2 linked regions of the Coturnix japonica genome follow. The protein of the gene in region 1 purifies or fractionates together with the protein of each later gene. This does not show direct contact. Links are inferred from orthologs where the notes say so. Each region holds a gene or a part of one and is shown on either strand. Other genes may lie near its edges.

What was found.
Region 2: the proteins of ANKRD17 (region 1) and HOXB6 purify together in Homo sapiens (co-immunoprecipitation; 3 studies listed by BioGRID and IntAct, with this or other methods). This does not show direct contact. The link is inferred for Coturnix japonica from reciprocal best matches to the Homo sapiens genes ANKRD17 and HOXB6.

What each region holds. Positions count from the first base shown.
Region 1 is NC_029519.1:45,246,047-45,261,170, forward strand, and holds part of ANKRD17 (ankyrin repeat domain-containing protein 17), read right to left. Parts: intron 14,402-15,124; coding exon 14,253-14,401; intron 13,127-14,252; coding exon 13,015-13,126; intron 12,834-13,014; coding exon 12,688-12,833; intron 11,711-12,687; coding exon 11,568-11,710; intron 10,870-11,567; coding exon 10,656-10,869; intron 10,101-10,655; coding exon 9,925-10,100; intron 9,173-9,924; coding exon 9,010-9,172; intron 8,445-9,009; coding exon 8,349-8,444; intron 7,542-8,348; coding exon 7,425-7,541; intron 6,605-7,424; coding exon 6,433-6,604; intron 5,572-6,432; coding exon 5,124-5,571; intron 4,178-5,123; coding exon 4,022-4,177; intron 3,914-4,021; coding exon 3,764-3,913; intron 3,300-3,763; coding exon 1,648-3,299; intron 1-1,647.
Region 2 is NC_029542.1:3,156,979-3,172,531, reverse strand, and holds the start of HOXB6 (homeobox protein Hox-B6), read right to left. Parts: upstream 8,511-15,553; 5' UTR 8,397-8,510; intron 4,239-8,396; exon of another isoform or gene 2,410-4,238; intron 705-2,409; 5' UTR 527-704; coding exon 118-526; intron 1-117. Other genes in the region: HOXB7 (homeobox protein Hox-B7), read right to left, coding at 11,564-11,817, 14,386-14,785. UniProt on the Homo sapiens protein: Sequence-specific transcription factor which is part of a developmental regulatory system that provides cells with specific positional identities on the anterior-posterior axis.

The sequences.
Region 1 (15,124 bases):
TTGACAGAAGCAACTCCTGTTATTGCCAGATGAAAAAGATCTCCCATTTAGGGGAAAAAGGAAAACTCAGATACAACCAGTCACGATTTTTTCATATTATTTTCAAGATAATTGGAAGTCTTAAGCTTCATGGTTTGCAAGTCTTGACAAAATGCAATAATTACATGGTACACGCATCACAAATAATTCATGTTATCATACAGATACTTCAAACGGGAATAAATTAAGGAATAGAATGCACGCCCTGATATAGAGGACAACGGAAAGATAACTAATCCTTTTACTGCAACTTAAATTCTGTAGGTTTAGAAACCAGGATTTTATACAGGGGAAAGTTGAAATAATACTGAAATTTTGAAGGTTTATCATAAACATTTCATCTTGCTAGAAAACAAGATATGTGTATGTATATATATGTGCACATATACACCTTGTAAATACATCAAGACTGAAGTGTTGTTTTTCAGACTCAGGTATACATTTTCACTTGCAAAAGAACAACAAAATTGACCAAGTGGCAACAATTCTACAAGAGCCCTTTCTTTCTGGGATGTCCAGATTGTAGACATTATTTACCCCTTAATATTCCCCTCAATGAAGAAACAGAAAATGAATGTATAATTTGAAGATTCAAACAGCATTAAGAAAACTTAATGCTCAACTGCTGCAGTACCTTGATTTTTTTCTTACTTATAAAACTATTTACAAATTACTTTCAGTCTTACTTGTGAATGATCACTTCGAGCTAAGTGAAGAATAAAATAGTTCAGTATCTGCCTCCTTTGCACCATCCTTTACGAAGGCCCAATTTCTTTCTTTAGACAGGTTCTTCAGGCTTTCAGGGGCTACTTTCCTATTAACTAACATGATGCTTCCTGACACTGCAGACACTTCCAACTTCACCTACTGCATTTGCAGGCTTCAGAAATTGCACAGACCATGGTATAGCTGTGGTTACAACACACCTCAGGAACTATTCAACACTATGATATTTACAGAGCCTGGAAAACTGGCTGTTAAATTTCTCAATTCATGAATTAAGCTGTATTACCAACACAGAGATCTGAGTAAAACAAGCACAGATGGTAAGAGCACAGATGTAAGAAAGTACATACATACTGCGTGGTATGTACTTTCTCGGAGCTACAGAACAAATTCTGTGACAACCTCTCAGCTTCTATTTGTGCAGAAGACTAAAATCTTTCAACATTATTCAGCAAGTCCACATAATTGGTTTTTTTTGGGTGTTTTTTTGGATTGAATTTAGTATTTAAGGTACACCTCATTAAGTCCACATTAAAACGCGGATATTATCCTAACACTTCGAAGAGGGTATACATTTTTCTGTAGTTTAAGAAGTAGCAAGTTATCAAAAACTGGAATAGTTATTAGCTTGTGGTACAGAAGTGAAAACAATAGTAACGTGCTTTGTTAACTCAGCTATAGCAATACAGTGGAATGGCAAAAAGAACACAGCTTCACTTCTATCAAGCTTGCTAACGGGTATGGATTTGACAATTTGACAGGGGTCACTTAAAGAAGAACTTAACTACACTTACAGAAACTGAAAATGGTAAGCCTTTGAAACAAAAACATGTAGCGATGATTAGAAGAAAATAACCACGTATAAACACAAGTCAGACTTACCTGAGGGACTTGGAGCTGGCCTCTGTAATGGGGGCCTAAAGCCTGGGGCTTTGGAAGTATCAGACTGATGTAAAGGCTCTGAATTTGGCAAAAATGAAGACTTTCCTGACAGCATAGATTCTGGTGTTGTCTGAGATGAAACGACAGAACCACCCCAGAAGGCATGAGCAGACGTAGGATTGTTCTCAAACAATGTACTAAAGGGCCCAAACGGTAAAGTAGCACTGAAATTGTTACCCATGGACTTGTTTGCTGGATGGGCTGAATTCTGAGAAGCACTTTGTGTACTTAAGGTAGAAGGAAGCTGCACTGAAGAAGGAACGCTGGGGGGCCTTTTGATATGATTAACATTGAGGACTGCAACAGAAGAATTTTGCACAGGAGCTGGATTCTTATGGACGCTGCCAGTTCCGTGGACAGGCGGTCTGATGGCAGGGGTTTCCATCTTAGCTGCAGGCTGAGAAGACCCCATTGATGTCTGAGACATGGGATAGGTCATTGGGGCATTTGCTGGACCTGCCACAGGAGCAGATGAGCTCGTCACTGCTAAATTTGGAGGCACAACCATTCGAGGATCTGGTGTAGGAACCTGAGGTTGCTGAAGAGGGGGTCTTGCCTCTTGCAGAGGAGCTCCTGGAGGCTGCTGATGAGCAGGGTGCACAGAGGAACTCCCAGAACCTGTACTGGGCTGCCTAGTGCTGGTTGAGCTGCTTGTTTCTACTGCTGGCGGACTACCCACTTCCTGATCAGACGAAGGTGCACCTTTATTTTTAGGAGAGGCTGCTGCACAGTCTGAAGGACTGCTTCTAGAAACGCCTGCTGGCTGTGCCGGAGGAGAAGGTGATGATGGGGAAGATGCAGGGTAGTGTTCTTTGGCAGTAGGAACTGGATATGTGGCATTAGTAGCCGCTGTGCTGGTGTTACTTGCTGTGGTTGTCACCGTGGTTGTCGTGGCATTTGACGTCTTCACAACAGTAACAAAAAGCTGCCTTCTGACTGAAGGTGAACTTGGACTGCCATTTGCAGAAGAACCAGGCACAGTAGAAGCCACTGAACTTGTTGTAGCTGTTGGACTAGTTGTCAAAGAACTTGCTGAATTCACCTGAGAACCACTGCTGTTCTGACTGTTATGGCGAGGCACCATGTGAGGTTTAGGCGAATTGGTAGCTCTTGCAGGGCTCAACGGCCTAACAGGAAACGGACCCCATGTGGACTGAGCTGGTGGGAAAGTACCTCCAAAGTGCGTCATGGGCAACCGAGGCGGACGGATTTGCTGGAAAGTCTGAGCAGCGAGTAAAGCATGTGCAAACTGCGGAGGAGGATATGCTAATGGAAGAGAGACTTGGAAACCAGGTCGCACATTATTCACTGGATTCTTAATGGTTTTGTGATTAGATGCTGAAGAAATTGCAGGCACGGTGAGTGCAGAGGCAGTTTGAGATGTTGATGAAGCAGCTACAGTGGTCACTTTGATTCCCACAAGAGAACTGTTAGCAGCTGTAGTGGCAGCAGGTGTTGATGTCCCTACTTTGGAGTTTGCAGATGAACTTTTCAAGCGGTTCTTTGGAATAAGTTCATCGATTTCTTTATCTGGATCCTTAATCAGAGCATTAATCAACTGTGTGGCCTGTCTTGTTGATTCTGTGCCACCCCTGAACAACAAAAGGAAAGGAAAAGGGAAGTGAATTTTGAACATCTACACACAGAGATGTACCTAAAGAACAGGTTCCTGCCAATCTTTCTGTCATACTAACAGATTTAAAAAAAAAAAAAGTGAGGAGAGAGAGAGGCTGCCTTTCTTTTTCGTTGCTGATGGTTATTTAAGAAACTAAAATTGAGTACTCTAACCCAGAAAACACCATCCAGTTAGAAAACTGACTTATCTAAATAAGTGGGCATATTTAGAAATGTAAAAGTCTTTTGTACAAGTGCAAACGTACAAGATTTACAGTTCATCTGTTTCTGCTACCCTATTTGTCTTCCCTGTCCAGAAGCAGCATCTGTGTCTTTCAAGGAACAATCCCAGTTGAACAGATTTGTCTATACAAATTAGCATGTTTTGTAATGAAAAATGTTCATTCCTCACAGGAATAAACGAACAGAATGGTCTGCTTACCTTATCGTTATTATTCTATCTCCAGTTTTGTCCTTCTGTTTGTCAATGTCTATGTGTGCTCCCGTGCATTCACGTATAGCATTGATATTACATCCTCCTCTGCCAATGACTCTGGAAATGACAGTTGATGGAACAGAAACCTTCTTGGATCTATAGAAAAAAAAGAAACATTAGCTGGGAAACGCTTCAAACAGCATGAAGTAATGGGCAGACTAGCCAAAGTCTGTAAGGAGAAAATTAGGGAAAAGTTTAGCTTACCTTCTTACAACTTCCTTCCATCCTTCTTCCCTTTTTTGACCACGTTTAGGGCTAGCAATGGTAAGCTTTCCATTTGGAGAAGAAAGGGGGGAAGGACCGGACTTTGTGCAAGTAGACAAGGAATTACTTGTCACTTCATTGATGACTTCAGACAACCTTTAAAATAAATTATTATTTATTGAAATGCAGACTAGCAAAGAAAATCAGAACAATGTTTTCCACTAGGCCCAGTCTGAAGCCTGTCAAAACTTATTTCCTCTTTTAGCACATCAAACAAACAAAAATAAAAATGCACAAGCCACGTTAATAACAACATGGAGTTAAAATCACTTAAAATTATCTCTGGTCCCCAGAAACCGTTCAGTAAAACGTTATTGTGGTGTTCCCAGACCACCCACTACAAAACAGCAACACTGCTTATGAAGGCTAAAATGGTATTTGTATTCCAAGAGCTGGAATTGACAAGGAAGAAATTCCTACTACTCAAAGACATCTTCCATCAAAACAGCAATCTGTTAAGATCTGTTAAGAATTTGCATTCTCACAATTCCCATACAGAGAATGAAATGGTACACCACATCTTGAAATAAGTACTTCTCACTAGCAGTTAAAAAGCTTGAGCATATCTAATTTGTACCTCCAAACTGTTTCACGTTCCAGAACTAGCGAAGTTCTCTAATTAGCTCTACTCATTTTACAGCTCTCAAAATGGCAGAAAAGTACTTCTAGTTTGTCTCTGTCTCAAACCGTTTTAAGTGAAACCCTGAGCAGCCTTGGGCAAGATCGCACAAAGCAAAGTAACTACCACGTAGCTCAGAAGTACTATACTAAGAGGTGGCTTAAATTGAAATGCCTGCATTTCTGAATAACTTAACAATTCTCTATATTTCTGATCCACACCAATGAATCTTCCTTAAGAGCTTACTACTTATTTCATGTTAAATTTCAACCATTATTATACTCCATTATTATACTCCTCACACACCACTGTGGCTTCATCCACTTCCTAACAATTGATTTAAATATGTAAGCCCATGCAGATAGTGGTGTAGTTTCCAAATGTAATGCAACAATCACTTTAAATGGTGTCACAGCAACTTACTTTATGGATGATTTGCCAGTAACTGCTTTCCTCTCATCCTTCGGACAAGTAACAAGAACCGATGGTTGCTTTTTGTTGCTCTGTGTGTTAGTAACGGCTGTGGAAGAATGATTGTCACTTTTGTGGCTGCTGTTGCTATTGCTGCTTTCATCGCTACAGCTGGAAATCCTCATGTTGTCACTATCACCACTTTCACTAGTACTGCTGCTCTTAGATTCACCATTTACTTTTTCTGGTTGGTTATAAGAAATTGGGAGCTGGTCATCAAATATGATCTGAACATTATCAGAGGCTACTTTGTTTTTCCTGTTTTTCCTTTTGGAGCTTGTTGTGGTGATGGTATTATTCCTTTTCCCATGAGAACCTGCTAAAGTTGTCCAAGTTGCAGATATGCCTATGGTGGTCGTAGTGGTAGCGCTAGGAGGCTCCATTGGGACCTCTGGATCATCTGGTGGAAGGAATATAAAACAGTACTAATTTAGATAATTCAAGAAACCTTGTATGGTTGTGTGCTCCAAATAACACTTATCAAGTTAAATCTTGCACAAACATCTTTAGAAGACTCCAAGAATAAAGCAGAGTCTCTAACAAAGCCAGTATTTGTACAACTACTAAACAAGTCATGCCATCGAGCTGCTTGCTTTGTTTGTTATAACTCATCTAGCATTTCATTCTGATCTTCAAATAAATGTAGCAGAAATTCATTAAGTGTGAAACTAAATTCAAGCATGGAAAGACAGAGACAAAAGCAATTACAGGAATAACAAGTACATGAAACAACAGATCAAAGTCTGTCACAAGTATTTCCCTTTCTTTTAGCTTATCGGCACAACCCAGCAGTCAGTGAAGACCATTTCTTAGCACACCACCAAAGATGCAGCTCAACACCACAAGATACAGAACAGCCAATATTTGGATAGATAGGACAACATATGTAGAATTTTATGGTTGCCAGTTTGTTTTTTAACCGGATCAAAATTATTATTCTGTGTGTGAGGGAAAAAAACACAACTTGGCCAGGTTTCAGTTAGTAGGACCTGGAAGTAAAAACATGCCAAAACATTTCCTGTGGTTAAGTTAACCTGCAACTCTCACTGAACCTGCTGTCACCAATCCTTAAACATAACAAGACACAGAAGTAATAAGAAGGCAGAAATGCAGAGTGATCTATTGGTTTCAAGTAAACTACTAAAAGCTCAGCATGTCATAAGACGACTATACTCAAGTTTTGACAAGAAAAGCCATTGGAAAACTAGAAATGAAAACTCAAGAGGCACATTTCACAAATAAATCAAGAGGTTGAAGTCACCTTCAGCTTTTAGCTTCTCTTTCTCCTGAGCAGCTTGAAGTTCAAAATTCTCTTTACTTTTAGCTTCAATTTCTTCTAATTTTCTTCTTTGTTCTTCTTTTTTCTTCCTCCGTTTCTCCTTTCTTTTCTCTCTTTTAGCAGCCAAAGCCAATCTCCTACTTTCTTCCCGTAGCTAAAATTAAAGCACATTACAGTATGTTTTCCATGCATTTCAAAAAAAGCAAATGCCATTTTTTCCCTTTTCCTGAGAAGCTGAACTTGCATTTTAGACTAACACATTTACAAAGTCAGCTTAACTCTGTGAGCTATATTTTTACATTTACTTCTTGCAAACAGATTGTTTTCCCATGTTAACAGAAGGTTGATGTAGAAATAGAGAACACCATCTTAAATGAATTTTCCAGAACATGTTTTCAGGATTCTAAGACTACTACATTTGTCTTAGCAGTACTGCCCCAACGCACTCATTCTCCTTTCAAAGGTTAGGATGTGCCATAGTTTTAGCTGGGCTGGATATAAAACATGCACTCATTTGATGACACATTCCTACTTAAGTCTTTTTTTTTTTTTTTTTTTTAATAACATCTCTACTACAAAACTATAGTTTCAAGGAATATTATCCACATATTTTGTTTTACTTAAGACAAAAGGGGATTTAGACCTCGAAACCAGACCAATGTCACTGCAAAATGCTCACCTACTGCATACTGGACAGAAAAAAAGTTCTTCAAAATCCTTTTTTGGTACAGTATTATATAGAGAAAATATAGTTATATCAGAGTACCTTAACCCAGTTTCTCTTAGTAAAAGTCAGAAGGGAAGGTACAAACATAACCTGAACAACCAGATGTTCAGCTCTAGATACTACAACTACACTGATTACATTTACTCCTATACTTCAGTACGGACATTCACAGGTCTTCTGGTCTTGAAGGAATACAAATCTGTAATCTTATCAAATAAATATTCCCAACTGCAAACCCTTAACTTGCCTTCTCCAAGTCCAGTTCCTCTAAAAGAATGCTTGCATTTTTGTTGGCTTCGGCAGCCTGTCTATCTTTGGCTTGAACAATTGATTCCATACACAAGTGGCACTTCTTCAGCATCTCCTAAAACAACAAAGTACATCAACATTCCATTTTAAAAGGTAAAAGCACACATTTAGAGTATACACTCTCAAGCTTAGGCTACTAATTTACTGATTTCCTTACTTGCAAAGAAAACTTTTAATGAAGAAAAAAAAATAAACATTTTCCATTACTTCCAGTGCAATACTATTACAAAACATCCATAATTATACCAAGTTAGTCTCTCACTGGCAAATAAGCTGCAAAAGTTTTATTTACTGATTTTGAGTCACGAGTAGTAAGTGACATGGCACCATGACAGATGAAATTCTCCTTCCATTCTTGAGTAAGACATGATCCCAAGTCCAAACTGTTATCAATGTAACATTTCCTTCACCACAGCTTGAAATTTCCTTTTCATGCCCAACTCCGCAAACTGATTCCCAATTAACAGGTAGAACTTGTAGTCAATAATTAATATCTCAGCATGCTTAAAGTGGTACAAAGACAGTTCATAATCTACACCTAATGAAGACAAAGTGTTCATGAAACCAAAGAAATAGTCTGAGAGGTGAAAGAAATGCACAAATTGAAAGGCCGTCACAAAACAAGGCTTAGCTCCCCACTTTCTCCCTGAAACACCTGGGAAATATTTTAACATTCAAGTATTTTAATACTTATAAACCTGTATTAGTTGCACGGCAGTAATTACTTTTATTGGGTGTTCAGCATCATGCAAGTGACCAGTGGTCACAGTCACTGGCAAGAACATACACACCACTGACAGGGAGAACACCTGAAAACATACAAGCATTGTTGAGTCACAGTATTGTTATCTTACAGCCTTACCTTATCAGTAATAGTTGCTATGTACCTCATACATTCCGAATCTGATGGAAACTGGTTTACTTCTTTCACTAGGTAGCGCACCACTTTTACATGACCCTGAAGAAGGAACAGACAAAGCAATTCAAGTACCTGTTGTCAAGCTGGCTTTACAGCCTAATTTTCACATACTTCTATCTTTCCCCTTTGACAGTTTTCCAACATCTGGCTCTGGCTACTTACAGTTATATATTCCTACAGTCATTAGTAATTTTTAAATTACTATTGAACTGGAACTACACTCAATTACCTCAAGTCAGGCCAGACTAACTCAAAGTTGATTTTTAAAACACTCATCCAATCTTGCATAAGAATTCATTTTAAAAATCATTTTCCTACTTCTGTTGCATATTCCACATCTCCATAGAGAATACTGTAATTTTCTGTTCTCAGATCCATGAAAAATCATAGTCAGTAAAATGACCATAAAGAATTTCTACTAGAATTTAACAAACATCATGCAGGTGAAATGCACACCTATTCTTGAAGATTCAATGCCAAGCACTATTAGTAGGTCACATCTTTAAAGACACAGCTTATCAGTTATGCTCCTGTTTATTCCTGATAATAATGAGGATGACTGAGTCAACATTTATAAAAACCAAAGGTAAACTTCACATTCTACCTTTCGGAAGGCTGCCATAAGAGGAGTTATTTTCCTGTTATCAGCAGCATCCACATCTGCTCCAGCCTGAACTAGCAACTGGACAACATCTAGATGCCCTCCATTTGCTGCCAGCCACAGTGGAGTATTCCCCTTCTTGTTACGCACATCAATGTGGGCTCCTCTACAAAAGCAAAAGTTCAGTCAAAACAATGGAGAAGATGTTAGTTACTTGTGTCAACAGGACTTGCAAAAGTTCATGCAATGCTTAAGAAAAATAGGCTAATTCAGCACTCGCTTTTACATAAAACATATGCACTCAAAGAGAGCTTCAGTTTCAGAAATATTTTTTAGATTCTGATGCTGTCAAAAGCCTACACTCAGACTACATGGATTTTTAATACTCTGAATCATATTGTTTGTCAGTTGGGTCTGAAGCATTGCTAATTACCTCATTAACTTCTATCCATTAGTACACTGTATTCCTCAATAGCTTACTGAGAACAACTTGTAAAGTTGTGAGTGCAAGCCAACAGCCAGTACCACTACTTCAAGAAACAATTATGCTTAGCGTACTTTGACCAACCTCAAACAGATGAAATCATTAAGACTTGTGTTTTGTGCACATCTTCTGCTTTTCGATGACTGACATTTAAACTGAAGGCACCAGTGATGCAACCACAAGAAATATCACCTTCACATGAAATGCTCTGAATGTTCTCAAGTTCATAAAACAGGAAAAATTCTATCAGTCCACACAGCCAAAAGTAAGTACTCAAACACCAAACACAACTTAGTCTGATCGCTCTCACTGAACAGAAAGCATAATTACTAATGGTCTAACAGAACTCTTCTCATTCCCTATCATGTAGTGTATATTGCAACACAGATTAGAGATCGTTTCCTTTAAGCACTGCACTTTCAAAAATACAGTACCTGCTAATAAGAAGCTCACAGAATTTGTAGTGCCCTTTGTCTGCTGCAATGGTTAAAGCTGTGTCTCTTGAAGAGGGTACCGGAGGAGCATTTACATCTGCACCTTTGTCCAGCAGAACTCTGCCTACTTCTGCATATCCACCAGAAGCAGCTTCCATTAATGGCGTGAGACCAGTCTACAATAAACATGCAAGAGAATCAAGCAATTTGTTTGAAAGAACTGGGAGTTGGGTTCACTTAGAGGACTGATTTCTACTTCCAGTAGCATATTTCAAGTCAGCTTTACAGCCCCTCCTGACCAGTTTTGTAATAGACTACCAATATTTCAAAGGAGAGAAAATATACACCTGTACAGAAAAAGAGGCACGACAGTGCATAGGTGTCCTGCTGCTGCACAGTGTTCAAGAAGGTTCTTTGCTTGCTGATGTCACAGCATCTCAGAAATAGCACAGTCAACCTTACACAGTTGATGATCAGCATAAGCATTGCTAAAAAAACCTGCAACACTTTTGTTTTTAGTCTTCATTGAGAGGCTACACAGCAACATCCAGAAAGTGCCTGGCTAGGTGAAGGGGGACACATTAACTTCTGACAGACATTCAAAATCCCCCCAGCAGTCAGACAAGGAGAAGAGATCAGACCTTAAGTACAACCTAGGTCAAGAATATGACTTTCTAAATTCATTAAATACTTGGAAGTACCTCTTTTTTGGAGAGCAATTTGCTTCTTACCTTAGCTCTATGTTCCACATTTGCTTTTCTATCAAGGAGCAGGCTAACCACTTCAGTTCTCCCTTGGAAACAAGCCAGAGTTAGTGCTGTATTTCTATTGGTCTCTATCTGGGCATTTATATCAGAGCCCATGTCCAGTAATAACTTCACAGCAGCAGTGTGGCCATTCATGGCTGCCAACATTAAGGGAGAAATGCCCAATTTGCTACCAGTTCTGAAAGAAGAAAAGATAAAGGAGTTCAAATCACAATCACATTTCTGAGATTACTTCAACAAAAACAGAAAAAATAGAATATTTAACAAGAATGGAAGACAGCAACACAGCAACTATAACTGAAACCATGGAAGGTTCTTGTCAGCAACTTTGGACAAGTATTTATATTTCAAAGCATTGCAGGCATGTTGGATTTTAACTACTGTAAATTTGACAGCATTTCTTACGAGGAACTTCTGCTTGAACACTTATTTGACTTGTGCAATGTATGGTTGAACTACTTCATGTATGCAAGAGGCGCTACACAAATGCAAACACACAGCAAAATCTTTCTTTAAATTACAGATGAGAAACAAACATGCACACTTTTTTTTTATTATTTAACCCAGAAGTAATTTCAAACTTGCAGGCCAATCAGAGAAAGGAGGAGTATTTTTCTTAACCTTTAATCAAAGGGGACTAATGTAATATGACGCATGGCAGACATTATCAAAACATACAGAAGCAACTGGAAGCTAAGTGAGCATTGAAAGAAGCATATTCAAAAACCTTTCCTTCCTACCTGAAGTCTACTACAAATAAGGCAATTACACAGATAATTATTTGTTGTGTAAGCACAAGCCAACCTGCTCAATTGAGTTGCCCAGAAAGCCTTTTGGAAAGGGTAAAGACCATGAAGAAGTGAAAAAGGAACTTGCCTGGAATTGATTTCTGCCCCAGCATTTAGCAGAATCTTGATAATGTTCACATAGCCACCAGAAGCAGCAAGGCTTAAAGGTGTATAATCTGAAACATTCCTGTGCTCTTTGTTTGCACCTCGAGCTAGAAGCAACTCCACCACCTGTAATATTTTAAAAAAATAACATACAGTTTTCTCTCAGACTTTCAAGTCTGTCTGATACAAAACTATTCAACGCTTTCAGAATCCTATATTGTACTGTTAACATCTTTCAATGTAAGGACAGCGGTTTTCTTCATTTCCTTCACTCTACTCTTGTCCTCTGTGAAAGCTGAGACTAAAATGTTTTCCCCCAGAATCAAGAACACATAACTGTCATTTGCAGCTGCTCTTCTGCAGCTGCTGACTGTCCTCTGTCCCATTTAACATCTTCTGAATGGGGCTGAAAAACAGGCCAGAAGGTTGACAAATTTTTGTAAGATTTTGTCTAGGAAAATGTGAAACCATCATCTTCATATGCGACAATACCCTGCACCAGATTATATGGTTTCCACTGTGGCCTTTGCAAACCAAACAGAAGCACTTACAGAACTACACACTTCAAACTTGTTAAGACCATTATCATCTGACTTTTTCTCAAGAACACAGTATTCCACATAACATTTAAAAAGACTTCCTTTATATTTACTTCTCATCAATCATTTGAAAAATGTCTTAGACTAAAAAGCCCAACAAAACAGAAGACACCGGAGCCATCTACAGTACTCATATTCTACGCAGAACCAACTATAACATCCTCTTGGCTCATATATGGAGCTATTTCATAGCAAACTCTAACTTTTCAACAGGAACACTGATCCCATTCACTTCCACATTCACATCCATTTATGCAGGTAAAAACCCCCTAACTGGCCAGGAGTTAGGAGATCTGTTTCACAGGTCTGGTCCAACTTATTGAAATAGGAAAAGGATTTTTTCATCAAACACTGCAATAAGAAACTTCAAAAATGTTAACTCTTTGTGCCTTTAAAAAACATCCTGAAACAGCACTGTGTAACAAGTTACTATGTTCCGTAAAATAAAAAACAGACGATACGTAATCTACAGCCTGCTCTTGAAGACTTAAAAGTTTACATCACCTCTTGTCTGCCTCCTGAACAAGCCAAGGACAAGGGAGTGTCCTTTGTTCTCTCCGACTGGGCTTCGATATCAGCTCCATTATCAAGTAAGATTTCAACAACACCCACATGGCCAGCTGTAGCAGCCAAGATAAGTGGAGTAAATCCTAGAACGAAAAAGGATGTTTGAAGAATCCACATTCATAACTTCAAATTAAGCAACTTATGTTAAATCACCAAGAAAGTAAGCCTAAAAGCTTCACACAAAAACTATATTTACTGCATATTTATTAACTACGTTACAGTGAAGACAAGAGTGGGTCTGTATTGCCACAGTGAGATAGCTACCTTTCTTGTCCCTATGTTCGATATTGGCTCCTCTCTCTAGCAGTGTTTGTACTAGTTCTTCATGGCCACCAGCACAAGCAAGCGTCAATGCTGTGTCATGATTACTCTCAGTCTGAAAAAGAAATCATTAGAAATATAAGTTCTTCCTTTTTTCAAGTACAGCTTCTGTCATGTTGCAAATACAACTGCATTGATAATGAAATAAAAACTATGAAAACTTAAGACCTATTTACTGGTCACCTCATCTTTCTTTCAAGTTCAGGTTAGAATTCTACCTCTAATCTGCTCTCCTGGAATATTATAAAAATATCCCTCAAGAGCCGATTTCAGTGTAAGCATAGTTTTAGTTTTGCTTTACTCTATTATGACTGAGGGCAGTTGGCAACCAAACTCAGTACTGACATGTGCTGCTTGCTGTCTACCAGTTAGAAATCAGACACATCAGGTTATGGGAGGAATCTGACCTGCAGTCACAGCAGAAACCAAGCCAACTGCCATAAGCAGCTGAACTAACTGGAACTGTTTTCCCAGAGATTCCTCTCCCCAGTCCACAATAATCTCCTGTTGCAGTCTACAACAATCCATACTTACTCATCTCCACACTGCTTGTATCTTAGCCCTATCACCTTGGTCACTTACTGTACAGTCTAGAACTATGCACATAAAAATAAATATAATGGAAAATAAAAAAAAGCATTACACGCTTCCCCCCCCCCCCCCCCCCCCTTTGATGGCTTGACAGCTCCAAGTCAACAAATAGCAGGTGCTTTTAAAATGACTTTCAATACAGATACATTGGTGAGAGGGAGAACTCTCATCAATCATTTCTGAAGATGTTTTAGCAATACTGTCATACTTCTGTCAGGCCTGGGGGGTCACTGGCCAACAACTCAAAGCACAACCGTGAAAAATAAGTGTGCAAGAAGTTTTTAGCCTTGTTTTCATTTTCAGAAGTCAACCCCAAAATACTTAATTTTTTCTACCCTATTTCTCATATTCACTCACTGAAGAAATGAGAAATACAAACATTTAGTGATGTACAACAAAGGCTCTTCTCTTTTGTTCAGCTAGAGCACGAAAGAAACTGGGCTGCAATTCTCCCAAGAGTTGTACAGGCTTTCTAAAATCAGCTCATCAAGTCTCATTATGCAACAGAGCTGTTCCCTATAAATGAATTATTCAGAATACAGAAAGAAAATAGCTTCACATGTGCACTGCAGTGACAGTGGAAGGCTTACCTGGGCATCAATATCTATAGCAGGGTAAATTGGTAGCATGGCTGAAGGAGAAATGATAGGACTTGGAGTTGGCGTCTGAGGCTGGGAGACAGAAGTTGCAATGCTGTGGGTAGGAGTGTTTGACATTGCAGATGCTCTTCCGCTCACTGCTGTTGAACAGAATAATTACAATTAGTAAAAGCAACATTGGGTAAGAACTACTCAAATATTCCAAAATTCAGAAATGCGCGTTTCTCCACATATTTAATCTACTTTTTGAATCCTTATAACAGTATCAGACTGCTAAATAAACACGTACAAATCAGACTGTCATGTTTTCTAAATGCCCAACACAAAAAAACCCCACAAGCATAATACTTTTTTTTTGTTAATATCAAAGACCTTTCCTACAAGTCAGTCATTATATGTACCAGGAATCCCATACCTTCAGAAGCTGGACTGCAGAACAAGGTGAAGTAACAATTATCTATGTAATTTTTCTTAAAACAGCTTAAGGATTCTCATGTAGAAGTCCACCTACTTTCCTCTAGTCCCCCACAAACATCACAGAGAGAAGCAGCAGAGCTAGCATCAGGTTGCTCACATAGAAGAGTTTGTTGAAACCAGTGAAGAAGCAGCTTAACAGCCATTTTGCAGAGACTTTGGTCAAAGACATTAGGATAAGCAGCATAAGGTAATATCATCTTACAGTTGATGACAGTATTCTGACCTGACACAAAGTCACACGTCCCTAAAATTCATCAGTATAATAGTTACAAGTACCAAATTAACTTGACGCTACAACAGCATTTGGGGGAAAGAAACTCTTATTTTCTATTTGTTTTTCTTTAAAGGAATCTAAAGTTTTCCCTCCTTTTCTTCCTTTTTTTTTT
Region 2 (15,553 bases), on another chromosome or scaffold:
GTGAACCTTATTCCTACTTCCCTCGCTCTCTCTCTCGCTCTCTCACTCTGGCGGTTAACAAATAAGAAAGGGGGGGAGGAGATTGATGTATTTATTTCTGTAAAAGAGTAAACTCACTATTGCAAGAGTTCATCCGCTGCATCCAGGGGTAAACCGGGGCGGAACACTTTTGCTCCTCGCTTTCTCCGAACACAGTTTTGCTCTGCGCGCAGTCCGACTTGCGCGGCTCGGGGGCGAAGGGGACCTCGTCCAGGTTGGGGGGGGGGCACGCAGGGTCCTTCTCCCTGAAAAAGCCGCCGGCCCCATAGTCACAGGCGGAGCTGCGGCTGTAGGCTCCGTTGCTTTGCTGGTAGTAGGGAGAGGAGGCATAGCCCTTCTCCTGGACTCCCGTGGCTCCATAGGTGCTGGGGTAGTGCCTCAAAGGATCCGCATAGCCCGAGGGATATAACGGGATCTGTCCCAGGAAGGGCTCCTGCCCCGCCGCCAGACTCACCGGGAAGGTCGAGTTGACAAAATAAGAACTCATTGGAAGGAGCCTGCCGTCCTTTCCCGGCTTTATGATTTGTTGTGTTTTATAGTCCAAGTGGTTTAGCTATTAGTAGTATATCGGAGATTGGGTTTTAGCTGAAGGGAGATGGCGTGGTGCCAGCGAGGGACACAAGGAAATACAACCATCTGATCATGGGCTGACCAATAGCAGGCGCCTGAGGTTGCAAAATAGCACCCATGAGGAGCTGAGATTGCACCAGGGACCCCAAGAACAAACCATCCACCCCCTTTTCCCTCCCTTTTAAACAGCAGAAATGCACCCCCTTAACCAAATATATAATATCTGAGGAAAGAAGCGTTCCCGGCGCTCTCAGAGCTTCAGAAATAAATAAACCGCCCCCCCCACCCCCCTTCCTCCATCCCCCCCCTCCACTTCAGCACCGGGGAGTGAGAGCCGGTGTGTGCGGATGACGGTGTGCACGCGGATGTATTCACACACATAAGCATACAAATACCTGTCCGGGGGGTTGGGGGGGGGGGGGGGGAAATAAGGGAGGGGGGGGGGAGGAGGGAAGTTAATTGTTTGCATTCGGAAAACTTTAACCCCTGTAGCCCGCGAGCCGTCCGAAAATAGCCGAGCGCTTTTCTGCCGTTAAAGGAAAGGAAAAAAAAAGGGGGAAAAGTTTGGTGTTCGGGTGGGTGAACTTCGCAGGGAGCAGATCCCGCCGCTTTGATTAACTCAGATTTCCGATAAGGGAGCAAATAAATGCTGACAGCTTATTGAGGTCCGTTCTTTAGCTCATTACCATAGATTTGCATCGTCTGTTAAAGAAAGCTGCGCTCCTTTCACCCAAACCTTCGCTTCTGGCTTTTTGTGTCTTTTTCGGTTTTTTTTCCTGCAAAAGCCGCATCTTGGGGGAGATGAATGGAAAATCGAAGTATTTCCTTTATCCTTTGCAAAATCCCGCTCTGCTCCCGGTCCCGTACCGCATTGTGCCCTCTTGCGTTTTTTTGTTAATACCAAATCCACGCCCGACCTTTTATGGCCAAAAGGGAGCTCTGAGTTGCTCTCAGAAGCTGAGTTTATTGATCGTCACCGATCGGGATTGTTTTACGAGAGGAAAGCGGTGGCGTGGAGGGGTTCTGCCTCGGAGACCCCGCGGTGCTCAGCTCTCCGAGTCCATCCCCGCTGCAAAACACCTCTTCCTTTTTTTTAGCCAACTTCAAACGCTGGAAGCCCCTAAAAGCCACACTTTGCTCTTGGGGGTCGCCTCTTTCATTTATGGATGCATTCAGCCCTTTATTCCCCCCCTCCATCCCCCCCCTACACCTCGGATTTTATAGCCGGGGATGAGCTCCGCAATACCTGGTGCGTCCCCCCCCACCCCCCCCCACCTCAGTTTGCTCCTCTTATCAGAAGTGAAAAGCCAGAGAGATCTTACAGGGGAAAAAAAAAAAAAGAAGACAATAACGATAAGAATAGTAATAATGAAATCCAGAAGTGCCACTGATCGTATGAAGGACTTCTTTCCCCATCCGAATTTGTAACCATCTGTCTGTCGGTTCTTACACGCGGTGAAATGACACACGTTATCATACGCACTCCTCTGTGCCTGGATCTGCGGCCGTGTGTGCTACAGATCTAGAATTACATACATTACAAGCTCACTGTACAGCTGCCAACTCGGCTCTCTCTGACGGAGCTTTAAGTATCTACGAAAGTCGTATCTTATTACGAGCTAATTTATTTTAAACATCGTATTTACAGGAGCAAAGCCAAGATTGTTTCATGCCATGGCTGCGATGAACATTTCGCCTGAAACGTAATCCTTATAATTCAAGGAAATAACATGCAGAGGAAGTAGTTTTCCATCCTCCACCCCCCTCTCTGACTGATATCTCTTATATTTGTTCTTGCAGAGTTTCCCTCGGTGCATGGCGTGGACCCAAACTTACGTAGATCGGCTTTATTGGTATGCGAGGAAAACAAATATGGGATTGAAAGATTGAACGATGGCTGGAGAAGAACGAGGAGAAAAAAAAGCATCGGATGAAAGCCTGAAGTTCACAGCTTTGCAGGAGCCGCACCGCTCAGACATTTGATTAGAGTTACGCAATATTGATAGCGCTACCAAAACAGCGACTGTCTGACAAGATCGGCTCCGCATGCAAATTCTGAGCTAAGAAATGGGATGTCCTGATAATTCCGTGCGTGAGTACATCTGCTGAAATGTTTGCTCTAATATTTGCTCACAGTTCTCACGGTTGATGTGCGAATAAATGCCTCGAAATAGTTTGGACACCCCCTCGCCTCCCTCCCCCTCCTTTCCCCCCTCGGATTTGCCGTAGTAAAATACTGCTTATATTGTGCACTTATGGCTAAAGAAGGTTATTAGGGCGGTTTATATGTCGACATCATGTAAGAGATCAAAACGCATTGCAACTGGCCACTTGCTAATTGCTTGTTGCTGACATTATAGACGCTCTATAGATGAAATGAATACATCTTGCTTCTTAGGAGAAGGGCGAAGCCTCTCTTGGCCCCCGCAAATGGGGAGAAAAAGGAGAAGAGAGGACACGATTTCCAAACCGAAAAATAGATATATCCAAAAACATAAAGAGTGTAACAGTGTTCATCTTCCGAAGGGTCCGGCCAGAGGAATAATTGGTTTGCCACCTAAAATGAATGCGAACACGAAAGGGGACCTTACACTATGTTGTATCCTAGAGAACCGTACCTTCAGCACGGAGGTGGTTTCTATTCCCATGTAAATGGCTCTGGCAAAATAAAGGGCTGAATAAAGAAATGAATGGAAGGTGGCTTATGGGCATGGCCACTTCGCAGACACTCTCCTGCCTTTCCCGATATAAATCTGAGACCTATTTCGCGAATCTCTTTTCTTTGGCCGCCTCCAGCGCCAGCCAAACCGGGAGGGACACAGACACAGAGCATAAAGGACTCAGCAGCAAGCTCGTACAGTAGCCCATAAGTTAGGTCTCTCTCTGACAGTGCCCATTGGCATATCTTTATTCAGCCTTTGGCCTCATCTCCTCAAAAACAGGCTCAGAGAAGGGGCAATAAAGAGGGAAAGTCGCAGGAGACGCCAGAAGGTGGTAGAGAGCGTTTCACTGAGCGCTGGGAACCCGTCTTTGCTCTCTGACTGACATCACTCAGCTGGCAGGGCATCAATAAAGATAAAGGGACGGATTTACAGTACGCACAATCACGGCTATCTGCCCAGGAAGGTCCTACTTTTCTCTTGCTTCGCTTTTTCTGGCCAGCAAACGTCATCCCCACAAAGCAGAGGGAGGCAGATAGATGAGGGGATTAAAACAACACCCAAATATTTCGAAATGCAAACAGAACAGAGCATTTCTTGTGCTAGAGTTAAACCGCCTAAGAACTTGGTGGAAAGTTCAGTGCAGTTGGTTCCAATAAAAAATGAAACTCTTTTTTCATGTGGAGCTGGAATTCCCGATCCTTCTGAAGTGAGAACACAGCGGGGGTTTCCCTACCCGGGGACTTATTGCAGCCATAAAGTCAAGCAAACACCACGAAAACACTTGAAAAAAACCCTTGTTCCTGGAGTCAGACATAGAAAGCAGTTGGCAGCAGAGCAGCCTCTCTGTAATGCTCAGCCACAGCCAAATCACATCGGGGGGAAACCCGACAGAAGTCCTCTGTGCTCCGCTGTTACCGTGTTTAAAACAATGAGCCCTGAAGGTGTAAAATAAATACCCCCCTCTCCCAGCTCATAACCGCCTAAATCTGAATTCCCAGCAATTTAAGTTTAATTTACCTGACTTCCCGTGCAGTGCGTAATAACCTTGTTAATGGGATCTTTGAAAAGAAGCAATAATAATCTACCATTGTTCCATTAAAGAGTGAGGCTAATTATTAACAAAAAAAAAAAAGAATGGTAAATGTTAGTGTTTGATCACTGCCTAATTGCATGTGGGTGACATTTGGCAAGAGGGGGAGGGAAAAGAAGGGGGGTAACATTGGGGTGGTCAAATCGCACCCAGGCAAACCCTGAGAGAGAGGGAAGTGTGGATGGGATATCGGTGAGCAGACGAAGGGAAAAGCCGACGCGTATCGTGCAGTGCGTAAGGCGAGTGCTGCGGGGTGTTGGGAATTACAGCATGGAACGGTTTAATCAAGGCTGTTGCGGGTCAAAAGAGAGAAACTTTCCACCACCCCCCTTCCCTCCCCTCCTTTTTATTTTTAACATAGGCACCGATCATCTCACTTTCTTAGAGAAAATGTCACCAGTCCAGACGTAAACAGTTGCCAGGAAACTGCATGGTAGAAGGAGAAAACGAGAGGGAGAAAGAGAGGGAGAGGGAGGGAGAGAGAGAAACCTTTTAAAATAACAGGCACGCATTGTCCCTTCAAAGCCCGCAGTAACTTAAAAGTGATTCGTCGTCTGCCTTTACTCTCTGCTCCTTCCCCAGCAACCACCTCCATTCTGTGTACACGACTTGACATATCTTTTCCAGACCCCACCGAAATGACCACTGGAAGCAATAAATAAATAAAAGCCCCTCTGCCTTTTATGATTAGCTGAAATCCCACCTCGCCTGTGCCTCGTACGTCATTACTGGAGCTCAGTTCACAAGATCTCCGCTTGTGCTCCTGCTCTGCAAACAACCAGCTATCTTTCGTCTTCCATGTGTGTATACAGATAGATAGATGCGAGCTTTTATGTTTATATATATGTGTGCGTGTGCATTTATGATAAATCTCTGCACATATGGCAAGGAACAGACACAGAGTTGTACACAAGCAGTGTTCACACATCGGAGTAGGCACAGCTCAACATACGGACATACGGGGTGCACGTAGATCTTATTGTAGGTGATCTATTTACATATATACATACATCCCAAACATTTACATTCAGACGCTTTCAGGCTACGCACGCAGCTTGTAGAACCCTCCAAGCAGAACACCAGGCCTCGGGGATGCAAAACACTATAGGGAACCCCTTGAAACTCGGAGCCGGGCCTCGCAGTGGGGCACAGAGGACGGGATCCAGAATGTGCCCCCATCCATCCCCTCCGCCCCCCACCTCCTCGCCCCCCGCCCTACTGGGCACTGCTGGAGCCCCCGGGGAGCGCCGCCCGCCGCCGCCGACGGTAGATGGCAGCAGACGGCGGGGAATGGGCGAGCCCCGCGGCGCGGCGGCGGCACCGGGGGGACGGCACGGCGGGGAGCTGCCTCCCTTCTCCTGCATCGCGTTTTATTTCCATCGATGAAAGAGGAGGGAGGCTGCCAAAGAAGGCAACGGCGAGGACCCCCCACTCTGGGGCACGCGTGGGCCGAGGGTTAAAGCTCTCTGCCCGCCCCGAGGTGAGATATCCCACAAGTGGTTGCCCTCGGAGGGTGCGGAATGATCGGCGTAAAAAGGATTTGGAGGAAGGTTAATAAATTGTTTGTATTATTATTACTATTATTATTATCATTTGTTGCGCTGGGGAGATTTAAAAAGCAAAAGGAAACGAGTGTGGAGAGATTTAGACGTAAGGGAGAACAGGCAGTAAACCAGCGTTAGCTTCACCCCAACGTGATTAATGAAAAATGTAACAGGTTTGGGAATAAATAGCTGTTAAAGATTGTCTTTCTGTTTATTATTTCCACGGCTTGCGATCATTTACTCTCGTCCGCACGATATTCCAGCACAGTCAAGTTAGCGGAGATAAATCGTCACGTCATAAAACGGTTTATGCTTAAGTAATGAATCTCATCTTAATCTCGTTGCACACACACAGGCTCCTACAACATCATGTTTAAAAAGCACCTCGTAACAGTCACCATTAGTACTACATTCAACCACCCGAAAGCTGGAAAAAATGAAAATCACATTCAAAATGACGCGCATCTCCGGACAATTATTACCCTTAAGGCAGCGTTAGGAAATCAGACAGCACGGAGGGGGAACAGCGGGGGGATTTGCACAAAACCTGGCTGCAAGCTGTGGGAAAGGACCAACACAACGTGAGGCTGAAACCCTACCCGGTATTCCGGCATGGAAAGCCATAAAGACCCGTTAACACTGCAAAGCGCAATTAAATACGAGGAGGTTTATTGCGCTGCAACGTCAGCTTCATTTGGGAGTTTCACGAGGGAGGGGGGGGGGGGGGGGGGGGGGGGGGGGGGGGGGGGGGGGGGGTCGCCGCCGTGGGGGAGGGGGGGGGGCGCCGCCACGTCGCCGCGCCCTCTCCCCGGCTCCCCTCCGCCGGCCGTGCCCGGCCGCCCGGCGTCCCCGTCCCGCACACACTCACTCTCCAGATAGTCCTCCAGATACAGCATGGCGGCGGCCGGGCCAGCGCCAAGGGGCTTCTCGCTAACGGGGGGCTCGTCCCTTCCAATATGGCGCCGCCGCCAACAACACCGGCGGCTCGACTCAGCGAAAACAACATTGGCGGCTGACGGCGCCCGCCTCGGCCGCGCCGCGATTGGCTGCACGGCACCGTGACGCGCCCGCGGCCTGCGCTGCTCTGCGGCACCACGGGAAACGCAGTTCGGACGGGAAAGGCCGCAGAACTACGAGTGCCGCCATGCACCGCGAAGGGGAGGGAATGAGGGGGAGGGAGCGGGACGGCGGGGCGGGAGGAGCGGAGCTGGTGTAGGGCGGAGTGGGATTCAGCGTGTATATGAGCAAGGAAAGGACGTGTGCGCTTAAACCACGTCCAAGTAAAAACCTGCGTTTGCTTTGTGACAGTTATTGGGACAACCGGGGTATCGGGACCTCCTCACAGAATGGCCCCGGTTTGGAAGGGACCTCAGGGATCATGAAGCTTCAACCTCCCACCACAGGCAGGGCCACCAACCTCCACATGTATTACTGGACTCACCCTTATGACTGCTTGTATGCCCCGGTTTTAATGCCTGGCGAAAATACTATTTAACTTTGCCCAGCCTCTGAGTAGAGTCAAGCAGGTACTTAATTTCTCTATCTGTAGTCTCCTGTAGACTTCGTTGGTACTTTTTATTTCTCAACAAGTGGAAAAACTGTAACATTTTTCATTTCTGCCAATGTTAACTCATATTGCATAGTCAAATGAATAACCACACTTAATTCAGTAGGATAGTGGTACTATAATGTCTCCCCACTTACTTTGTCATTTGTGTTCCACATCTCTTAACTCCATCTTTTTCACCTTTGTATTCCACTTGGTCTTCCTGTGTTTCTTCCAGATCCATCCTACCTTGTACATGTTTTAAGGGCTTTTTGTATTCTAGGGTCACACCATGTAGTTTCTTCAGTACTCTGTAACTGTTTAATCCAGTATTTTCAATCCTGTAATCCCTGTGTTTTGTTTCTTCCCCCTTTTCAAGAACTGATTGTCATTGGTTTGATTTGAAGGAATTGGGAACGAGCCAGCCCATCCTTGGCTTACATTCCAGATCTCAGCTCCTGCTGTTATGTTCCTGTGCTCTCTTATCACAAGAAAGCCTCTCAGCCTTTTACATACAGAGATTGCTGACCACGGAGCATAGAAAACCAAACCCATTTGCTTTGCCAGGGAGGTGATGGAGCCTCCTCCTCTGCAGATATTCAAGACCCACCTGGACACCTACCTGTGCAATGTGGTGTAGGGAACCTGCTTTGGCAGGGGGGTTGGACTCGATGATCTCTAGAGGTCCCTTCCAACCCCTACAATTCTGTGATTTGTTACTGACAATTTGCCTATTTGCACAGAACTTTAGAATACAGTGACAACTGAGCAGCACCAGAGGAGGGTGCAGCAATGACAGCATACAGCTANCCCCCCACCCCCCTTTGGGTAGGGGAGGAGAGGGAGATAGGGAATAAAACAGGGAAAAAAAGCAGCTTGACAAACGCATTTTCTCAAAGAAAGAAAAAAAAATAAATTAAGAGAAACAGGTATTATTTCCTTACCTTTTGACGTCCATTTCTGTGGTATAAGCAAAATATATAGGGAGAGAGAGACAGCGTTTGCTTATCTGTTAGCTGACAAATATTGTCCCAACCTGATAGCCGTCGATTGCCTCTCTGACTTGTGATAGCTTCTTGCATTTCTGTCATTTGCATAGAAAATGGAGTAACTTCCCTCTTTGAAAAATGATAGCCGCCACTCGCTCCAGAATCTCCACTGTCCCTCCATTACTACTGAGATTCCAAATCGGCAGGCAAATTAACAAAGGAATTAGCAAAAAAAAAAAAAAAAAAAACCAAAAAGGAAAGGAAAAAATAACCCCAAAACCCTCTTTTCCTACGTGTGTGTGCGGATGTGAGAGCCTATGTGTGCGTGTGGATGTGTGTATAGGCGTCCCCCCTCCCCTCTCCCCTGGTTTAGACCTATCGAGCCTATACACAAAAGTAAAAAAATGTAAAGAGGAGAGAGCCCTATAGAGGACACTGATCCGACCCAAGGTGCAGCGGACAGAAGAATGGTGCAATATAACCACATGGGAAATAATAAAAAGTTCATGTTCACGGTTAGCAGTCCACATGACCGGCTCTGGCCAATCCCAGAACCCAGCCACTCATAAAGTTCTATCACAAAGTTGTAAATTTTCATAAAACAACAAGGAATTTATTGCATTTCTTCATGACCGGTTTAACAGCAGTCTTTTTCTTAGCCGCCATCTTTTTTTTTTTTTAAACAAAAATAAAAGAATATGAAAAGGGGTTCGGGGATATTTTCCCCCCTTTGGTTCTATGGAGGGGGGTGTTGGAGAGAAATGATGGAATAATTCCTCGTGTAATAGGCTATGAACAATAATGACTCCCCCGAAATAAAGAGATTGGGCTTGGGTTTGGCTTTTAAACGAGCAAAGGCACTAAAACAGTGGGGTTCGGGGGAGACTTTGGACGTCTCTTTATTTTTCAATGCAACGGGGACCCTTTTTTTGCTGCAAAGGGCAATTCGCAGATTTCGGGGGTAACAAAAAGGGAAATAAAGGCGGACAGCGGTGATCGTGCCCTGGGTAAAACCGGGGTGGGGGGGTCGGGGGGGGCTGTGCTCAGGGGTTCCCCACGGCCGCTCACCCTACAGGATCCGCTCATTTCCCCCCTATAAAGCGGGGACTCCCATAGGGACACACGGGGTGCGCAGTTCGGGTCTCGGAGGTATCGCCATGGCACACACTTCGGCTTTTCCATGAGACCCTCCTCGATCCCTCTTCGATCCCCTCTGCTTGAGGCACAGCTCCGTGCCAGGGGGGGCTGGGGGGGCAGGGGAGGGGGGGGGGCTGTTGGCTGCAGAACGGGGGGTTGGGGTGAAATTTCTAGACAGCTTTCTTTTTTTCTTTCTTTTTTAACCTCTCCAAGAGATCTCACCAAAGGATTCACCAAGAAAATGTGGAAGATTTCCCTTTGTTTTCCCTTCCTTCGAGCTGGATTTCCAGTGTTCATATGCCACCGTAAGTGGCACCTTTTACTAATGGGCTTGCCGTAATTAGCAGATGCAGCCTGCTCTGCAAATCGCTCTTATGGATGTGGGCGCGCGGCTCCTTGACGTGGCATCATCCCCCCTTTTTTTTTTTTCCCTGGGACCTTCTGCTGGATGCCCCGTTCGCCTCCATGGGGCCATCCGTGGCGGTGGGTGGCGAAAATGGAAGGAGGGGAGGAAGGCGGAAAGCTGCCATTCCCCAACCAGAAGCCCTTTGCGCTTCCCCGGCATCATCCTGAGCGTTCATTTAGCGAGCAAGTTACGCGGAGCCTCCGCTGGAGGAATCCGCGTTGTGCCACGCACTCTGTAAATATATAAACGGGAGGGGGAGAGCGGCGGGGGCTGCTCCATGAGCAAGTGCTTAAATTTGCTCGCTTTTGTTTTGCATTGTTGATTTCCTCCCCCCCCACACGCCCCGTTTAATTGCTTTAATTTCTTTGATGCGCTCTTTGATGCTAAACATTATTCGGTGCTAATGAAAAGAGTTCCAATCCGCAGTAAAGTAATTGAAGAGCGGAAGGAGAATCTTTAAAAAGGGAAAAGAATAAAGAAAATAGTGAAGGCCCGGCTCAATAGATCGGGGTTTTTTATTCCTGTAAATTGGTTTAAGAAGAAGAGAATTACAACGAAAGGTGATTTGGACGCTCCTGGCCTCTCTGCGTTCCTCCTTCGGCCGTGGCCAAAGAGGGAGGCAGATGAAGCGGCCGCGAATTTCAGCGCTGCTCATCGCGTTTTGGCCGAGTCTCTCCAAAAGAATAAAGCACTCAAGTGTTGGGAGCGATGCTGAGATGAAAAAGGAGCGCAGGGTGGTGATGGGTCGGGGCAGGTTTTAATATAAAAGGGGTCTTTTAATAAACACATTTGCTCTTATATAGTTATAGATAGATTCTAAAGCCTTGAGTGGTGTTCTTAGCGAGGACAGGGAATGGAACGCAACGTGGTTCGAGAAGATTGGAGATTTCCTTTTTATTTCGAAGAATAATCAACACAGACGAGGGAAAAATCAAAAGCAACACGTCGCCATTAAATACTTTGCTACTTCGATATACAACAGTTTACGTAGCACAATATTAACTCCTTTTGTTTTTTGTTTTTTTCTCTCCCAGGGATTCAACAAGGAGGAAATCCGGGTAAAAATATACACAGACAAAACAGCCTTGCAACGTGGAAAGAACCACAGAGGTTACAGGGAGAAGGCGTAATAATAATTCCTATTATGTACAGGATTCTATATATGCTAAGTATCATTTGCATTCAGATTTTCAGGTCACATCTTCTAAATTAAAGGTGCTAAACACGACCACGTTACTTCATACCAAAAAAGTACACAGCGAAGTACAAACGGAGATTTACAAATTACTTGGACTATAGGAAGACTCACATAGAAAAAAATGTGTCTATTCTGACTCTAAAGCCACATTTAATAGGTAGATATTCATTCTATTGTACAAAAAAAAAGACTTCGATATAGGTAGTATTTTTTTTTTTGTCAGTGTCAGGAAACACAACGGATCATTCCTAAGTTTTTAATTATTTATGCACTTAGCGTCGATCTATTTTAGTATACAGTCTTTTCTGGGTGGTTTTTCCCCCTTTCTTTTTCTCTGTTCCCGTGAGCTTTCACGTTTCCTGGATCCACCTTTTGTCCTTTTCATTCCTCCTCGTCGTCCTCCACGTCTGCCTTTTCCTGGCTGCTGGAACCGGAGCAGGCAGTTTTATTCTCTTTTTTCCACTTCATGCGCCTGTTCTGGAACCAGATTTTGATCTGTCTCTCCGTGAGACACAGAGCGTGGGCGATCTCAATGCGTCTCCTTCGGGTCAGGTACCTGTTATAGTGAAACTCCTTTTCCAGCTCTAAAACCTGCTGCCTCGTGTAGGTCTGTCGGCCGCGTTTTCTGTCCGTGCCTGGGAAGGAAATGCAGATTAGGATCAGTTAGATTTGAAGGGCAGAGGGGGGGTTATATTTTGATGCCCAGCAACACCCGTCCTCCTTAGCTCCACAAAAGGAAGAGCACAAGCTGATCCTACCTTTCTCCACATTCTCAATACCAACTCCCTGCTCCAGAAGCTTTTCCCACTTCTCCCTCCCTATTCTCGGCCCCAAAACATTGCGAATTTAATCGCCCTTCATCTCGGAGAAGGGAGCGGTGATTTTCCGCTTGCAGCCCCGCTGTGCCTCAGAGCCGAGCGGGATGGAGCTGCAAACTTCACCAAGTTTCCTGCTCTCCCAGCTCCTGTTTAATTTCTGTTTAAACACCACAAACTTCGGATGGAAGAGGGATAAATACACAAAAAGAACCCAGCGAGAGCTGCGCCCGCTACCTCCACAACCCCAACTATTTGTCCTCTCCTAAAGCTGTCATCGGGCTGCTTGCTTGGGAAGGTGTGTGATGGTCTTAATTATTTCAGGGGATGTTTTTGGGCACAGCGGTGGCTTCTGCTCGGCTGTGGCTGACGTAGGGGCTGCTACCTCCGAGTGTGCACAACATGGGAAGAGCTTCAACCCTACCGCAGCCTCTGCGCTGCTATTCCGCTGTTTGGAGAGGGTCTGTAAGGGGCCCGACCCCGTAATTCCACCCCCCCCTCTCCAACCCGACGTTTCCAGAGTGCAAGTGGGAATAATGGTACAATATAGCCCTTGTGATCCCTCTCTATTTTCTGTGTAAATGCGACGTCTATCTATAGTATAATGTATTCTTTCGTGGAGAAGTGGGGATGGCGGACAGCAGCCCTCGGCCTCTCCTCCACACATTCCATCGGACTCCTCTTTCCTTCCCCCCCATCCCCCTTTTCTTCCCCCCCCTTTTTCCTTTTTAAAGGAAGAAAAGATCCAGTCATTAAAAGGAGGGAGGGGGGGGGGAAGCAAAATAGCCGTGCTAGCTGTAAAGTACGAATCTGCAGGTCGTGGAATGTGGGTTGTAAAATCTGCTGAGGGAGAGCCATAAACTGCTGCTGAATAGGGATGACAACTCTATCTCTGCACTCTGATGAAATTCCACAACCGCGATCGCACAGTGGGCATCAGACGCTGGAGGAGGGATCCCTGAGGTCGAATTTCTCTGGTTTTAAGCACGGCAGATCACAGAGCATCCAGGTTTGGGAGTGAGGGGTCCCCCCGTTTGCCCTTCTTCCAGACCCTCCTAACGCTGTTCCTCGTAGCGTCACATGCTGAAAGGGGTGGGTGGGTTATGGGGGGGGTTGTGCGGGGGTGGGGAGTGGAGGGCTTCTTAAATCTAAAGCCGGATAAAAGGGGAGACGAAGTGTTTACGACCAGAAATATTTGGTCTTTGATAAATCAACTCTGAAACTGAATGAATTATGGAGCAGGTAATGGAAAGGACTGACCACCAAATCAGTGCTAGGGTACCTCCTGCCTGTGAAGCCGCCCAGCATTGGCTGCCCCTCTGTTTTCCTTTCCCCTCTCTATGCAGGAGGTTGGCCCGCACTCCCCTCGCCCCCGAAGTTTACTAACACGACACTTTCCGAAGATTTGGCTGCTCTCAGGGATGCTCTCAAGTTGCAATCTGGCACCGGAGCGGCCAGAGACATGAGCTCATGCGTTCTCCTCGCTCCCAGGCAGGACAGCTCTTCCCATTCCCGTGCCAGGGTCACTCGGGTATAAACACATCCACGGGTGTCTGAAGCACAGGGAAGTACCCCGAGTGGGGCCCAAAGTGAAGGGAATTCCTGCCCCAGGAGCTTCTTACCCGCATCCCATGCACTCCCGTGCGATGGGAACGGGATGTTTAAGAAATGTTACTTGACACTGAGACGGAGCAGGGCTGGGGATGAAGGCAGAGCAGAGTCCTGGCGTGGGGTTCCCTGCTTTGAGATCCTGTCTGGGGTTATTTGGAAGGTCACCCCGCAGTCCCTGGATCCGTCCCTACAGCCGGATCCCGGCCGGGATGTCAGCGTTTTTATTGTAAACAGGGCTTTTAATTGAGCCAAGGATGATGTGTTGCTTTTTCAGATGGCAACACGCTAGGCTTAATCGCGGTGTCTGGGATGCGGTGGCGAGGGGCTGGCAATGGAAGGGTTTGCAGCCTGAGAGAAAACAAAACGAGCTTGAGAGCACCTCCCATCAATAGTTTATTTCGGAATCTATATCTACATCTACACAGGGGTAGCGCGATCTTCATCCTGTAAATATAGGAGAAGAAGGGGATGGCCATTATTCCTGCAGCTCTGTCTGTCCCCTCTAAGACAAACTGCCTTTTGCACGGCACACACACAGCCCCAGCACCACTAATAAATATTTAAAGCTAAAAGGATGGCTTTATGGCGGGGGTTTCTCTCTCTCTCTCTCACCCTTTTGAAGCCGGAGATTCGTTTTCGGTGAAACGTCATGAAAGGAGATGGGGACAATTCCCCCCTCCCCCTCCGCCACCCCCCGCGTACGCCATAAAATAATTTACACTCCCCCCATCCCCCCCCCCACCACAGTCTCCTTTCTTTAAGGAGGATTGCGCTTACCTGTGCTCCTCATCCAGGGGTAGATGCGGAAGTTACTGTCGCTTTGCAAATCTGAATCCCTCTGGTCCGTTTTGTTGCAGTTTTGCTTAGAAGCATCTCCCGGGCACATCATGGAGAGGTTTTGCTCAAAGGGGGAACAGTGCATATTGAAAGAGCCGGGCTCCAGGCCGTACCCCGAGGAATACATGCCGGGGGGTTGGGGGTGCACGGCGCTGCCGCTGGAGTACAGCCCGGGCATGGAGGAGGCGAAGGGAGGCGTGGAGCCGGCCCCATAACCAGCTCGTTGGGTGTTGGAGGCGAAAGCGCAAGAAGTTTGCTCGGGAAAGACTCCGGATGGGAAAACCGAACTTGCGGCTTGATATTTAGAAAATAAAGCATTCGCATAATACAATGAACTCATAATTTGGCCGGGTGATTTGTAGGTCGGGACGTTTTAGTGTCGGTTTTACGAGGTACCGTGATATATTACGGAATTAGAGTCCAGATTTACACCAAAAAGGAGCCCTTTTTCCTCCCGGCCCATGTGACGCGCGGGCACGTGGCTCCAGCGGCGCCAATCGCCGCCCGCTCCCTCCTCGGGGGCAAAAAATTGTAGTGCTGCTGGATTTATAAAATATGATAAATAATTGATGCGATATAAAACCCTCCAAGATCTATGCTGGAAGGGGGTGAAATTGTGCTGGAGTCGATAAGCAACCTGTAATCAGTTTTCAGCTGGAGGACCGAGGGCAGAAGAGAAGGCGAAAGGGAAAGGGGGGTGGAAAGGGGGCGGGGGGGGTTGGTGAGCAGCGCTGCTCCTCTCGGTCTCTCTCTGGTGGAGGAAAAGGAGCGGAGCTCTATTTATCCCTTTATTGATCCCGTCGAAAATTCCCTCCTTCGCTTCATTTCCCGGCTCCGAAGCACTTTTTTCCGAGGACTACATGCTCTCCCCCCCCCCCCCCCCTTGACCCTCTTGCGACCACCCCCAAAAGACAAATGTCTGATTGATACCTAATAGTTCCAAGCTCTTCCCCCCCCCCCGCTTCCCCCCACTTCAAATGCCATTCAGCTCTATATCTCATCTATTCCAATGCCACGGGCTTTGAGTTTCGTATTGAACTGGCATTTGCTTTTCTTGTTGCGAAAAATAAAGGCTGTACAGATCCCTTGTTTAGCGCGTCAGCGCTTC